Linked DNA regions of Callithrix jacchus. The protein of the gene in region 2 binds, or shares a complex with, the protein of the main gene of each other region. Links are inferred from orthologs where the notes say so. Each region holds a gene or a part of one and is shown on either strand. Other genes may lie near its edges. The genes, in order: GNAL, GPR161 and guanine nucleotide-binding protein G(s) subunit alpha isoforms XLas.

Evidence for each region.
Region 1: the proteins of GPR161 (region 2) and GNAL are in contact, whole or in part, in a cryo-EM structure (PDB 8KH4), measured with the Homo sapiens proteins. The link is inferred for Callithrix jacchus from reciprocal best matches to the Homo sapiens genes GPR161 and GNAL. Residues at the interface, in NP_001254539.1 of Homo sapiens: Arg125, Ala128, Val129, Leu130, Pro132, Met133, Tyr135, Pro136, Met137, Ile139, Ile211, Val214, Ala215, Lys218, Ala219, Lys267, Ala268, Thr271, Trp327, Asn328, Lys329, Arg332; in NP_001135811.1 of Homo sapiens: Ala41, His43, Lys203, Val204, Phe206, Phe363, Cys366, Arg367, Asp368, Ile370, Gln371, Arg372, His374, Leu375, Gln377, Tyr378, Glu379, Leu380, Leu381.
Region 3: the proteins of GPR161 (region 2) and guanine nucleotide-binding protein G(s) subunit alpha isoforms XLas are in contact, whole or in part, in a cryo-EM structure (PDB 8SMV), measured with the Homo sapiens proteins. The link is inferred for Callithrix jacchus from reciprocal best matches to the Homo sapiens genes GPR161 and GNAS. Residues at the interface, in NP_001254539.1 of Homo sapiens: Arg125, Ala128, Val129, Leu130, Pro132, Met133, Met137, Ile211, Val214, Ala215, Lys218, Ala219, Lys267, Ala268, Thr271, Ile272, Trp327; in NP_000507.1 of Homo sapiens: His41, Lys216, Val217, Phe219, Phe376, Cys379, Arg380, Asp381, Ile383, Gln384, Arg385, His387, Leu388, Tyr391, Glu392, Leu393, Leu394.

Annotation. Positions count from the first base shown.
Region 1 is NC_133514.1:50,860,940-50,864,588, forward strand, and holds part of GNAL (guanine nucleotide-binding protein G(olf) subunit alpha), read right to left. Parts: intron 1,685-3,649; coding exon 1,626-1,684; intron 621-1,625; coding exon 500-620; intron 1-499. UniProt on the Homo sapiens protein: Guanine nucleotide-binding protein (G protein) involved as transducer in olfactory signal transduction controlled by G protein-coupled receptors (GPCRs).
Region 2 is NC_133519.1:34,190,192-34,193,840, reverse strand, and holds part of GPR161 (G-protein coupled receptor 161), read right to left. Parts: intron 2,440-3,649; coding exon 2,022-2,439; intron 1-2,021. UniProt on the Homo sapiens protein: Key negative regulator of Shh signaling, which promotes the processing of GLI3 into GLI3R during neural tube development.
Region 3 is NC_133506.1:54,470,887-54,474,535, reverse strand, and holds part of guanine nucleotide-binding protein G(s) subunit alpha isoforms XLas, read right to left. Parts: intron 1,102-3,649; coding exon 1,043-1,101; intron 958-1,042; coding exon 838-957; intron 1-837. UniProt on the Homo sapiens protein: Guanine nucleotide-binding proteins (G proteins) function as transducers in numerous signaling pathways controlled by G protein-coupled receptors (GPCRs).

The DNA.
Region 1 (3,649 bases), on a different chromosome or scaffold from region 2:
AAACCATCAGAACTTCATCAAAGAACACTCCACATTTTATATGTCTATACAATAGATGAACCAAAAGAGATACTTCTTACGGTTCTGGATTTATCAGTAAAGAGAGAGAGAGAGTGTGTGTGTCAGCCTGTCTGTGTGTGTTTGTGTGTTTTGAGATAGGGTCTTGCTCTGTTGCCCAGGCAGGCGTGCAGTTGTGTGATCTCAGCTCATTGCAACCCTCACCTCCTGGGCTCAAGCGATCCTCCTACCTCAAGCTCCTGAGTAACTGGTACAGGTGTGTACCACCACACCTGGCTAATTTTTCTATTTTTTGTAGAGACAAGGTTTCTTCATGTTGTCCAGGCTGGTTTCCTACTACTCCTGGGCTCAAGTGACCCACCTTACCTCGGCTTCCCAGTGTTGAGATTACAGGTGTTAGCCACAATGCCTGGCCTGAGCATATTTTTAACAAAAGAAAATTTGCAATCAGTAGTGAGACTGAATTTGTTATTTTTATCACCTGTTGTTCCAGATGCTTTCAAAAAGATCGAGGGACTCTCTTAGCCGGTTGGTATTGTTATCTTCTCGAATCACCATGTTGTAGCTACTGCAGGCTGCGACGTAGATGATAGCTGTGACGTCTTGTGGGGTGAAAAGAGAAAAAATAAAGCATCTCAGGTAGAAATCCTTCCTGTGAAGTTACATGAAAGTACACACCCAGAAGCTACTCAGTTCGTCAAAACATTCGTTCAATGATAGGACTATTCAGTCACAGAACAGCCTGGATGTGCACCACGCGCATCACTTGTTGTTTCAGTAAATACTGATGAAGCACCTACCCCAAAAGACACATGTAAATTTGGGATGCTTACATGCTTTTTTTTTTTTTTTTGAGGTGGAGTTTCACTCTTGTCTCCCAGGCTGGAGTGCAATGGCATGATCTCGGCTCACTGCAACCTCCAGCTCCTGGGTTGCAAATAAGCTGGGTGTGGTTGCCTGAGCCTGCCTCAGCCTCCCCAGTAGCTAGGATTACAGGCCTATCATCACATCTGGCTTTTTTTTTTCTGAGACAGAGTCTTGTTCTGTCGCCCAGGCTAGAGTGTAGTGGTGTGATTTTGGCTCACTGCAACCTCTGCCTCCCAGATTCAAGCGATTCTTTTGCCTCGGCCTCCTGAGTAGCTGGAACTACAGGGATGCACCACCATGCCCAGCTAATTTCTGTATTTTTAGTAGAGACAGGATTTCACTATATTGGCCAGGCTGTCTCAAACTCCTGACCTCATGGTCCACCTGCCTTGGCCTCCCAAAGTGCTTTCAAACAGGATTACAGGTGTGAGCCAATGTGCACGGCAATTTTTGTATTTTTAATAGAGCCAGGGTTTCACCATGTTGGCCAGGCTGGTCTTGAACTCCTGACTTCAGGTGATCTGCCCTCCTCAGCCTCCCAAATTGCTGGGATTACAGGCGTGAGCCACTGTGCCTGGCCCTTAAATGCTTATTAAAAATGAGATTAGTATCTAAGGAAAGAGCTTCATAATAATCTATAAAATGCTATACTTTACATACTAATTAGATTAGAGATTATCTAATTCAAAAATAGTTTGTTAGAATTCACTCCCATTTTCTTGAGAGAGCATGAAAATCACCGTTAAAGCACTGGATCCATTTTCTCCTCTCATCCCTCTGGCCACCAACATCAAACATGCTGTGGAAGAGCAAGAGGAACACAATTATTTGAGGGAAGCAGGGGACAACGGCACACATGCTTGCTTTCCTCCTTTATCATCAGCAGGTTCCAGCGATCACACCTGGGTCTGAGTCAGGCTTGGGTCACTGTCTGGCCTGCACCATCACTCCCTGTGTGATCCTGGACTACAAGTGGCTCCACCTCTCTCAGCCACTGTCCCTCCTCTGTCACCCCACAGTGGGGCTACAGGGGTGAGAGATCAAGCAGACAGCAGCCGGCAGTGTCTGAGGTCACACAGTAGGTCTATAATAAATGCAGTAGTTACTAGCTCAGTAATGCTAGAGGTTACTTGCTCAGACACTAAGGCCTCTCTGAGTACAAGCTAAGTCCCCGCCCAGGGCAGATTCTTCTTATGATTTATTCCAGCTCTCAGGACACTGTAAGCGGGAGTGTCCTCATTCCCCTGGAGAATTGAGAAAGGTTCCTTGCTGATCTGTCGATACTACATGTGTCTTGTCTCCAGCCGCCTCTGCCTGGTGACCTGCAGTAGGTCTTTATCACTTCCCTGATTTAGTTCAGGCTTCTCTGCCCAGCCTGAGTCACTCCCTGGTCTTGCCCAGCAAAGGTGACCTCAGCCAGTTCTCTCAGTTTCTCAGCTACATCCTGCACTTCATCAGGCCAGTCCCAGGCCCCTCTTCTCACAGCCCCTACCCAGTGCACCCTGTGGCCTAAGCCATAGAGTCATACATGCCGAAGGGGACTGGGAAAGGTATAGGGCAGTATACCATCAAGGGTTGCATAGTAGATGCAATGGGAATTCTAAGGGCTCACCATGGGCTGAGATCTGAGGGATGCTCAGATGCTTTTTTTTTTTTTTTTTTTTTTTTTTTTTTTTTTTAGTGACAGGGTCTCACTCTGTCACCCAGGCTGGAGTGCAGTGGCATAATCATGGCTCACTGCAGCCTTGAACTCCTGGGCTTAACAGATCCTCCCACCTCAGCCTCTTTAGTTTTTTTTGTTTTGTTTTGTTTTGGTAGAGACAGGTTCTTGCTATGTTGCCCAGGCCGGTCTTCCCTGGCCTCAAGCAATCCTACTGCCTTGGCTTCCCAAAGTGCTGAGATTACAGGCAGGAGCCACTATGCCTGTCCTGACGGAAGCTTTGATAGATCTGTGGGGTTTGCTTAGCCCATGCAGAATCTGAGGCTCAGAGGACAAGATGAATAGAGGTGCTGTAGCAGGAAGAGCTGGGAGAACTCAAGGGTCCTGACAGCAACCCAGCCTGGTGAGGCAGGTGGCAGGTGGTAAAGCAGGGCTGGGGGTGGGGCAGGTCACAGGTGGAGGGCTTGGGTCATAGAATGCACAGGCAATAGTGATCCCCGAACCATTTTCAGCAGAGGAATAGCACAATCCAGGCCATGCTGTGGGAAGATCCATTTCATGGTGCTGAGTAGGGCAACTGGAATGGGTAAGCTAGCAGATAGGAGACCAGCCAGGGCCCTGCCGAGAGAGTCTAGGCACGGGGGAAGTGACGGAGCAGGACTCGGGTCACAGCTGTGAGGATGGAAAAGAGCTTTGTGGAGGGAGAATTATTGTCTCATCATGAGGAGGAAAAAGGAAGAAAGTAAGCTCATTTGGCAGAGTTTGCACTTGGGCAACCCAAGAGATGGGCTAGAGACACACATACACTGCTAATTTCAGTTCTCAAACTGTGACTGTGCATCTGAAAGGTTAAAATTTCATGAGTCTCCTGATCTAATAAAAGGGCCAATCAAATCTACAACTCAGATGCAAACATGCTTTCCTTTCAGGTGTCCTCATTTCTACTTTAAAGTAGGCAGTAAAATCAACACTTCAACTCTTGCTAGAGTTCAAATTTCACCCCAGTTGCCCTTACCTGAAAGGGCACCCATGCACATTCAGGGATGAAGCCCCCTTAAGCCCCCCAACCCTTCGGCTCTCGGTCCCCTGGCCCTGGGCCATGCG
Region 2 (3,649 bases):
ATCAAGAATCTTGAAAGCATGTTTATTGTTACTGAGAATACAGCAATTCCACAACACACACATGCTCCTCAGAATGCTATAGAGAATAGCAAGCTATATGAAGCCACCTAAACCAGGAATAGGGGACTGTAAAAATAATTTATAAACCTCCACAGGATGGAATACCTCATAACCGTGAAAAATCACCTTCTTCTTTACAGAATGTCTGCAAAGAAGAGAAAAGGCTCACAATCACCTAAATGAAAAAAGGAGGTCAGAAAACCACAGGTGCCAGAAGCCTGTTTCAAAAACTTGCTGTATACAACCAAAAATTACTGGAAGCAAATATACTAAAACCATAAACAGTGATTGCTTCTGATTAGATGATGAGTGTTTCGAATTTCATTCATTGTATTTTCTGTATTATCACCTAAGGGAAAAAAGAAGAAGCTAATTGATTCATTTTGACCAATGGCTTCATTGGTTCTGCCTCCACAACGCAGCCACAAAGAGCTGCCAGATTCCAGCCTCAGGTCTAGCTGCAGCCTGTGCTCTGGTGGACCGTTCTACTAGCACTCATCGGCTGAAAAACTGACAGTGTCAAAAAAGCCCGGGGACTTGTCTCACCCAGTGACAACACCCCTGGCTAGCCCCACTCTGTGTTTTCCCTGACCCCACTACTTACTCCCCTCCCCAATTCCTGTAAATCACACATACGTTGAATCTATCCTCCCTGTCCTCATGAAGTGGCCCTTAGCAAAATTCTAATAAATGCACTCATTTGTGGGAAACTCGCTGCCAAAGCCCACGAGACTTGTACAACTAAATCTGACAGCTTAATGTGGGAACCTGAAGAACCCTCAATATGCCACTTAGGAACATCACCTCCCTGTGCACTGGTGACACTGAGGGCAGGGGCAGCCCGAGTTACCAAATGTGCACACTGCCTCTCCCCGGTGTCACTGCTTGTAATCTCTGGCTATTTTCCCTCCCCTTGCTCTCCTTCCAGTCCTGGACTGTGGGGAGTGAGGATGTGTTGAGAAATGCTGAGTGTATGATAAAGTATATTGTTTGCTAAGAAGAACCATGAGAAGGAAAACCTAGCCACCACCCTCTCCCCACAGGTAGAAAACTACTTGGGGCATTCTAAAGTAGCAAGATAGTATATGCATATCACAGACCAGTTAAAACAATTCTTTAAGTGTGGGATATGTGACCCTGCCCCATGGCTCCCTTGTGGAGAATACTCTTTAGTTTGTCCATGATTAGTGGTAAGTGGGCACCAGCTGCCTTCCTGGTTTATCTTGGTGCTATGAGAAAACACAGAACACCTGTGGTGATGATTATTAACCACAGAACACTCGTGATTATAACACAGAACAACTGTTTGATAATAATCATCACCACAGGTGATAACCTCCTCATAACCACCTCATAACACCAAGAAATATGTGGGTCAGAGTCTGCCTGAGGCCCTCAGCCCAGAATGCTGTCAGTCCCCTGAGGCTCTCAGCTCAGAAGGCTGTTGACCCCCTACATAGTCCCACCTTGCTGTTCTATCTGGGTGTTTGCCTCCAATTCCTTCCACGCTGCCTGGGTGGGGGTCTCTGCAGCTGAGCTGGACTCGGGAAGGGTGCGCCCTGTGTGGGCTCCACTGGTCAACACCAAAGCAGGACAGAGCAGGAGTCACACTGGGAGAAAGTGCAGCAGAGTCAAGGGCCCTGGCCCCAAGGCTGCTCGGAACTGAAACCTGCCGCGGCTCGGCTTCTTCATCGACAAACCAAGAATCAGAGGTTTCCAGAATGTTCTATTTTAGGCAGTGGAACCTCTTTCTAAAATATAAAATTGTATGTAACATACACAGACAAAATGAGACATGGTCTGGTTGAAGATGTGGCTGCAGAGGCAGAACTCTGTCTGGTCATCCTCCCCTGGCAGGGGCCCCTGACCCTCACCAGGGAACTAAGGCAGTCAGAGGGACACTGCACCAGATGAGCTTCCATCCGCAATCCCTCAATTTTCTAAGTCTGAGGCATGCTTACCGGTCGATGGCAATGACCCCGAGGGTGAGCATGCTGGCCGAGCTGATCAGCAGGTAGAGGAGGGCGGAGAAGTTGCACCAGACGACACCAAAGATCCATTCCCTGCGGATACAGCTTGTCACCACGAAAGGGAGCACCAACACGGACAGCAGGAAGTTGGACAGGGTCAGGCTGAAGACGAACTTGTTGCTGAGAGTGAGGAGGTAGGACTTCTTGTACAAGGTGACCACGATGACCAGGTTGCCCAGGCAGACAAAAATGGTGATGACAATGATGGCGATGAACTGGGTGAGGATGACGCCCTCTTCGCCGCCCTCCTCCTCAGTGAGGTTACTCAGCTCCTTCCTACAGCCGAGGGAGGAGTTGAGGCTCATGGTCAGTGCACCTCGGCATGGGGTGGGCAGAACATGCTGGATGACTGGAAAGATAAGGCAGGACCAGGGGACAGGAAAAGATTCATCAAATGCCATCATCTCCACTTTAGGGAAGAAAGGTGAGGCTTAAAGGCTGTGCCTCAGGTCACCCAGCTAGTGCAGACTCTCAGCCAGTCTTCCCATGTGCTGCATAAGTGGGGCATTTCCTACAACCAACTCTGTGTGAAACTGATTATGTCCCCCTGACCGGTTTCTTCCTCTGGTCTAACCCATCCTATCCATTTTCCCAAGGCCAGTGATTCAAAACCATTAATGTGCTTAAGAATCCTCTGAAGTGCCAGTGCAGAGAGCTGATCCTTGAGCTCCACCACTAGAGGTTCTGGGCGCAGAGATCACAGGCACAGCCGAGGAATCTGCATTTTAAACAAGCAGGCTGGGGCAGGGCGGGGGGCTGTTACAAGTGGTCTGTGGGAGACACTCTGCAGACTGCTGTGTTTAGACCCTGGTTACTCGGGGTGGGCCCTGAACCAGCAGGATCACCATCACCCGGGAGCTCACTAGAGAGGCAGAACCTCAGGCTCCGCAGCTCCATCTACAGAATCAAATCCGCATTTTAGCCCCACCACCAGTCAGTTTTAGTGCTCTAACAGTTCGACAGTAAGATTCTCATGGGAATCGTTCTGAGCTCCCTGAGCAGGGATTACTCAGGTACAGTTTATACGGCGACATTATTACTGCTCTCATCAGACATGGCGAGGGAGGGGAAGCGCAACTGTAAATGGGGAAGTGGAGGCACCATTTGAGGTCTCAGCCCACAGACATCACTGCCTATAAGGGGCCGTCCCTGCTCTCGGAAGACTGGCTGGTGATGCTGGCTAAATCTCCAGGCTGACACATGTTAACATTCAATCCTACAGACCAATGTTTCTCCAGCACTCTTCATATACTTCAGTGAGCCAAAATACCCCACAGATCACTGTCCCCACCTGCTCTCATTCTCTGCACAGAGAAGACACCAAAAAGAAAGGAACAATTGTTTTCCATGATCAAGACAAAAACTCTGGTGCCTGATCTGCCTACACACAGCAACAGGGTTATCTACCACAACCCTCATGGTAGATCCGTGGCCTCTACTCAAACATTCTTTGTCCAGAGGGCGTGTGCAGGTTAATAAGGCAGCCCTTCCCCTCCCCAGCAGTCTTAAGTGCCAGTGAGAAAGTTTCCCTTATAGTATGGTGGTTACCAGACCCTTCA
Region 3 (3,649 bases), on a different chromosome or scaffold from region 2:
TTAGCTATCTATACTAACTGAATACTATTAATTTCTCTGCTAATGTAAGTTTGCAGCCAAGTCCATCTAAAATATACAAACACAAATTCCCACGAAAGCCTGACAAAAGGAAACAGTAACTCATTGTTTTCGCTGTAGACAAGTCTCTTCCTTGTGGGCCTTACAAACGCATCCATCTTTCCAGTTCCCTGCTTATAAGCCACTCTCCCCAAGAAGGGGCCTAGACGTATATGTTTGGGCTTGAACGGTTTTTTTTGTTCCCTAAAAATAGTTCTTTAGGGAGCCAATGGTGTCATGCATCCAGAGGAAAGTCTTTTCCATGTGTTCTATTTTATGATGTATTTTTGAATTACAATTTAGATATATTTAAACATTTTTTTAATAATGAGAAAAGATTTCATTTGCCCAAAGACCAGGACTGACTTTAGGAAACTCTTAATAAATATGAAAAGGTCACCTGTTTAAAATGAGAATGTCTCCCATTTGGCACTTCACTGAGGCATCCCAAGGGAACTTAGGGCACTTCCAGTGGAGTAAATGGACAATTAGTATTTGTGCACCGTATTTAACATACAGGTTTGTTTGTCCTAAGATGTGAATAATTAAGCCTACCGTAGCTCAGGAACTATTTTCCTCCTAAACATTTACAATCTAATAAAATGAGATTGTAATATTAAAGAGTGATGTTTATTTGTGATGGATGTCACTGAAATGTGTTTTGCCTGAGGTGTGGTTTGAACACTTTTGCCCATGTGCAGGGCTGTCACTGATGTTCTTAGAGGAACACTATGCTCAGGTGAGTGGATCTCAGGCCACATAAGTCGGGGTGTAGCTTACAGGAGGGAAGTCGAAGTCAGGCACGTTCATCACACTCAGAATGTAGTCCACTCTGAACTGGTTCTCAGGGTTGGCCAGCTCCACAGGGGGTACCAGGTTGCTCATGGCGGCCACAATGGTCTGAAAAGGATTGAGCAAAGTGGTCAGGGAGCAGTACTGGCTGGGAGGGGCTGTAAGACAGAAAGTGCAAGGAGCCAGCACGTACTTCGATTGCCTCTTTCAGGTTGTTTTTGATGTCCTGCACTTTGGTTGCCTTCTCACTGCAGTGGGATTGAAAAAAGAAGAAAATCATATTGCATCGTGTCAATTGAGAGTATTGCTTGCATAAAGATATTCCGACTACAAAGCATAGTATTCTGTTCTTCAAGGAGTTGTGGGTTCAGATCTGTGCAAAGATTGGAGGTAGCTCAATAGACATGGCTGCAAATTGTAACCTCCCAAATGTGTCCGGAGGACATGCCCAATGGGACAGATGAGCAAACTGCCTTAGCAATCATGACTGTACCAAAAGTTGCACACAGGTCACCGACTCTTTCAGGTGGTCCCATGGGCTTGAAGCCCCATACTACATACTAACACTTCTGACCCTGTCAGCATCTGGGTAGGGGTGAGGCTGAAATGACAGGTCACTAAGAGTTTGCAGTGGAGCAAAACAGTCCCCTATTTTGATGTAAAATTCACTCAGTTGCTAGATTAGCATACTGAGAGAACCAGTGAGCACAGGTACTGGTGTTAGTAATAGTTCAATACAGGGGCCTGGGCACTCGGTGACTCACGCCTATAGGGCAGATTGTCTGAGGTGTGGAGTTTGAGACCAGTCTGGCCAACATGGTGAAACCCCATCTCTACTAAAAATACAAAAAAATTAGCAGGTTTGGTGGCATGCACCTCTAATCCCAGCTACAGGGTGCGGGAGGCTGAGGGAGGGGAATTGCTTAAACCAGGGAGGTGGAGGTTGCAGTGAGCCTAGATCATGCCACTGCACTCCAGCCTGGATGACAGAGCAAGACCGTCTGGGAGAAATAAAAAAAGGGCCAGGTGCCATGGCTCATGCTTGCAATCCCAGCACTCTGGGAAGCTGAGGCAGGTGAATCACGAGGTCAGCAGTTCCAGACCAGCCTGGCCAACATGGTGAAACCCCATCTCTACTAAAAATATAAAAAATTAGCTGGATGTAGTGGCACGTGCCTGTAATCCTAGCTACTGGGTAAACTGAGGCAGGAGAATCACCTGAACCTGTGAGGTGGAGGTTGCAGTAAGCAGAGATTGCACCACCGCAACCCAGGCGAAAGACTGAGACTCCATCTCAAAGAAAAAAATGGTTCATTACAGGTCTCAGGGCTTGGCAGCAAGTCACAGGTGTGCTGCTCCGGGCGCTCAACTAGCAGCAATGAACTTTCTAGTTTATGATATTAGTGCATGTTGGTCCATGTGCATAGGTATCAAATAAGATTCCACCCCCTAGATGTTCTTATACTCTATGGGGGAAGGGGCCAGATCCCTCTGGTAAGTAGAGGTTGAAGGTTTTGTAGCTTTTCCTTGACTTTATCTCGGACAAATGGGATGGCCTGTGTGGTCTTTACGGAATGATCTATATTCAGGGTCACTGGTCCTACAGGTAAAGGCCACACCCTCTGGCTTCTGGGGACCCTAATGTTAATTTTTGTACCAGATTACACTGATCCAAATGCCGTATGTCTTTCAGAAACTAGCCTTCTAATATAAGCACAGCCAGGGAAGGTTCTGGAGTTTGTGTTTTTAGGGGGGGCAAGAAAGGGCCTCTCGGAGTGTCTCACCAGGTCTACAGCCCAAAAATGTGCAGCACACCCAGCACACCTGCTGTACCTGTTAGGCCCTGGGAGGTGAGAGCATTGTTGTACAGAAGGAAAGTGCTATGGTCCTGCCTCTCTGATGGGGAAAATGAGGCGCGGGGCGGGGGGGGGGGGGGGAAGCCTTGATTTGCAGAGGCAGAAACTGATGGGGGTGGGAGATACAGGGAATAAAGTTTATCTTTTTCACTGTATTTTTTTTTTTTTAATCTTTTGAGATTCCCAGTTTTTGAAGCATTCACTTGGCTGATGCGCCAATTCATAGAATGGAGGTAGAAATTAAACATATAATTCCCTCCAGACTAGAACATGACAAAGTCAAGGTAGAGAAGAGGAGGAGGGAGGTTAATTAGAAACAGTGAACGAGCAGGGCAGGGCGGTCAGTGGGGAAGGAGGGGAGGGGATGGATGGTGGGGTCAAGTGCAAGCCTGCCCACAGGCCTTCCATAAATAATGTGGTCTTCCCTTTCTCAAAGAACTCTACTCCCGAATTTCCTTCTGAATTAACGTCTGCGTACTTATTTGAGGGAGGCTTCACAGGTCTCCGAGCCACTGTTCTTCTACACTGAAGAGCTGGCAGAGTTCAGAGGGGCCATGCTCATTAGTGGAGGTGGGTGTCTGGGGAAGGGAGGCAGAACAGATGGTGCCAGGAATCCCCTCAGGGCCATTTAAGTAAAAGTGGTACAGGTCCAGAGAACCTCAGAAGCACAGATGACAGGGAGAGGTGAGCTTCGGACCTTGTGCACAAATCTGAAATCTGATTCGGGCCCCCACACTCTTAAAGCAACCACCATAAAGTGAAAGGGACCAAGTCCTCACCGCTCTGTGGGACTGTCTGCTTTGTATGTGCAGAATCGAACGAAGCTCATTTCTAAATTTAAGAATTTCTGGCCTTGGTATTACAGTCTAACATCAATTATTTCGATGTTATAAATTAAAAGGACATGTGTTTGATGGTCCCCAATGTTCACTCTTGAATGCAGA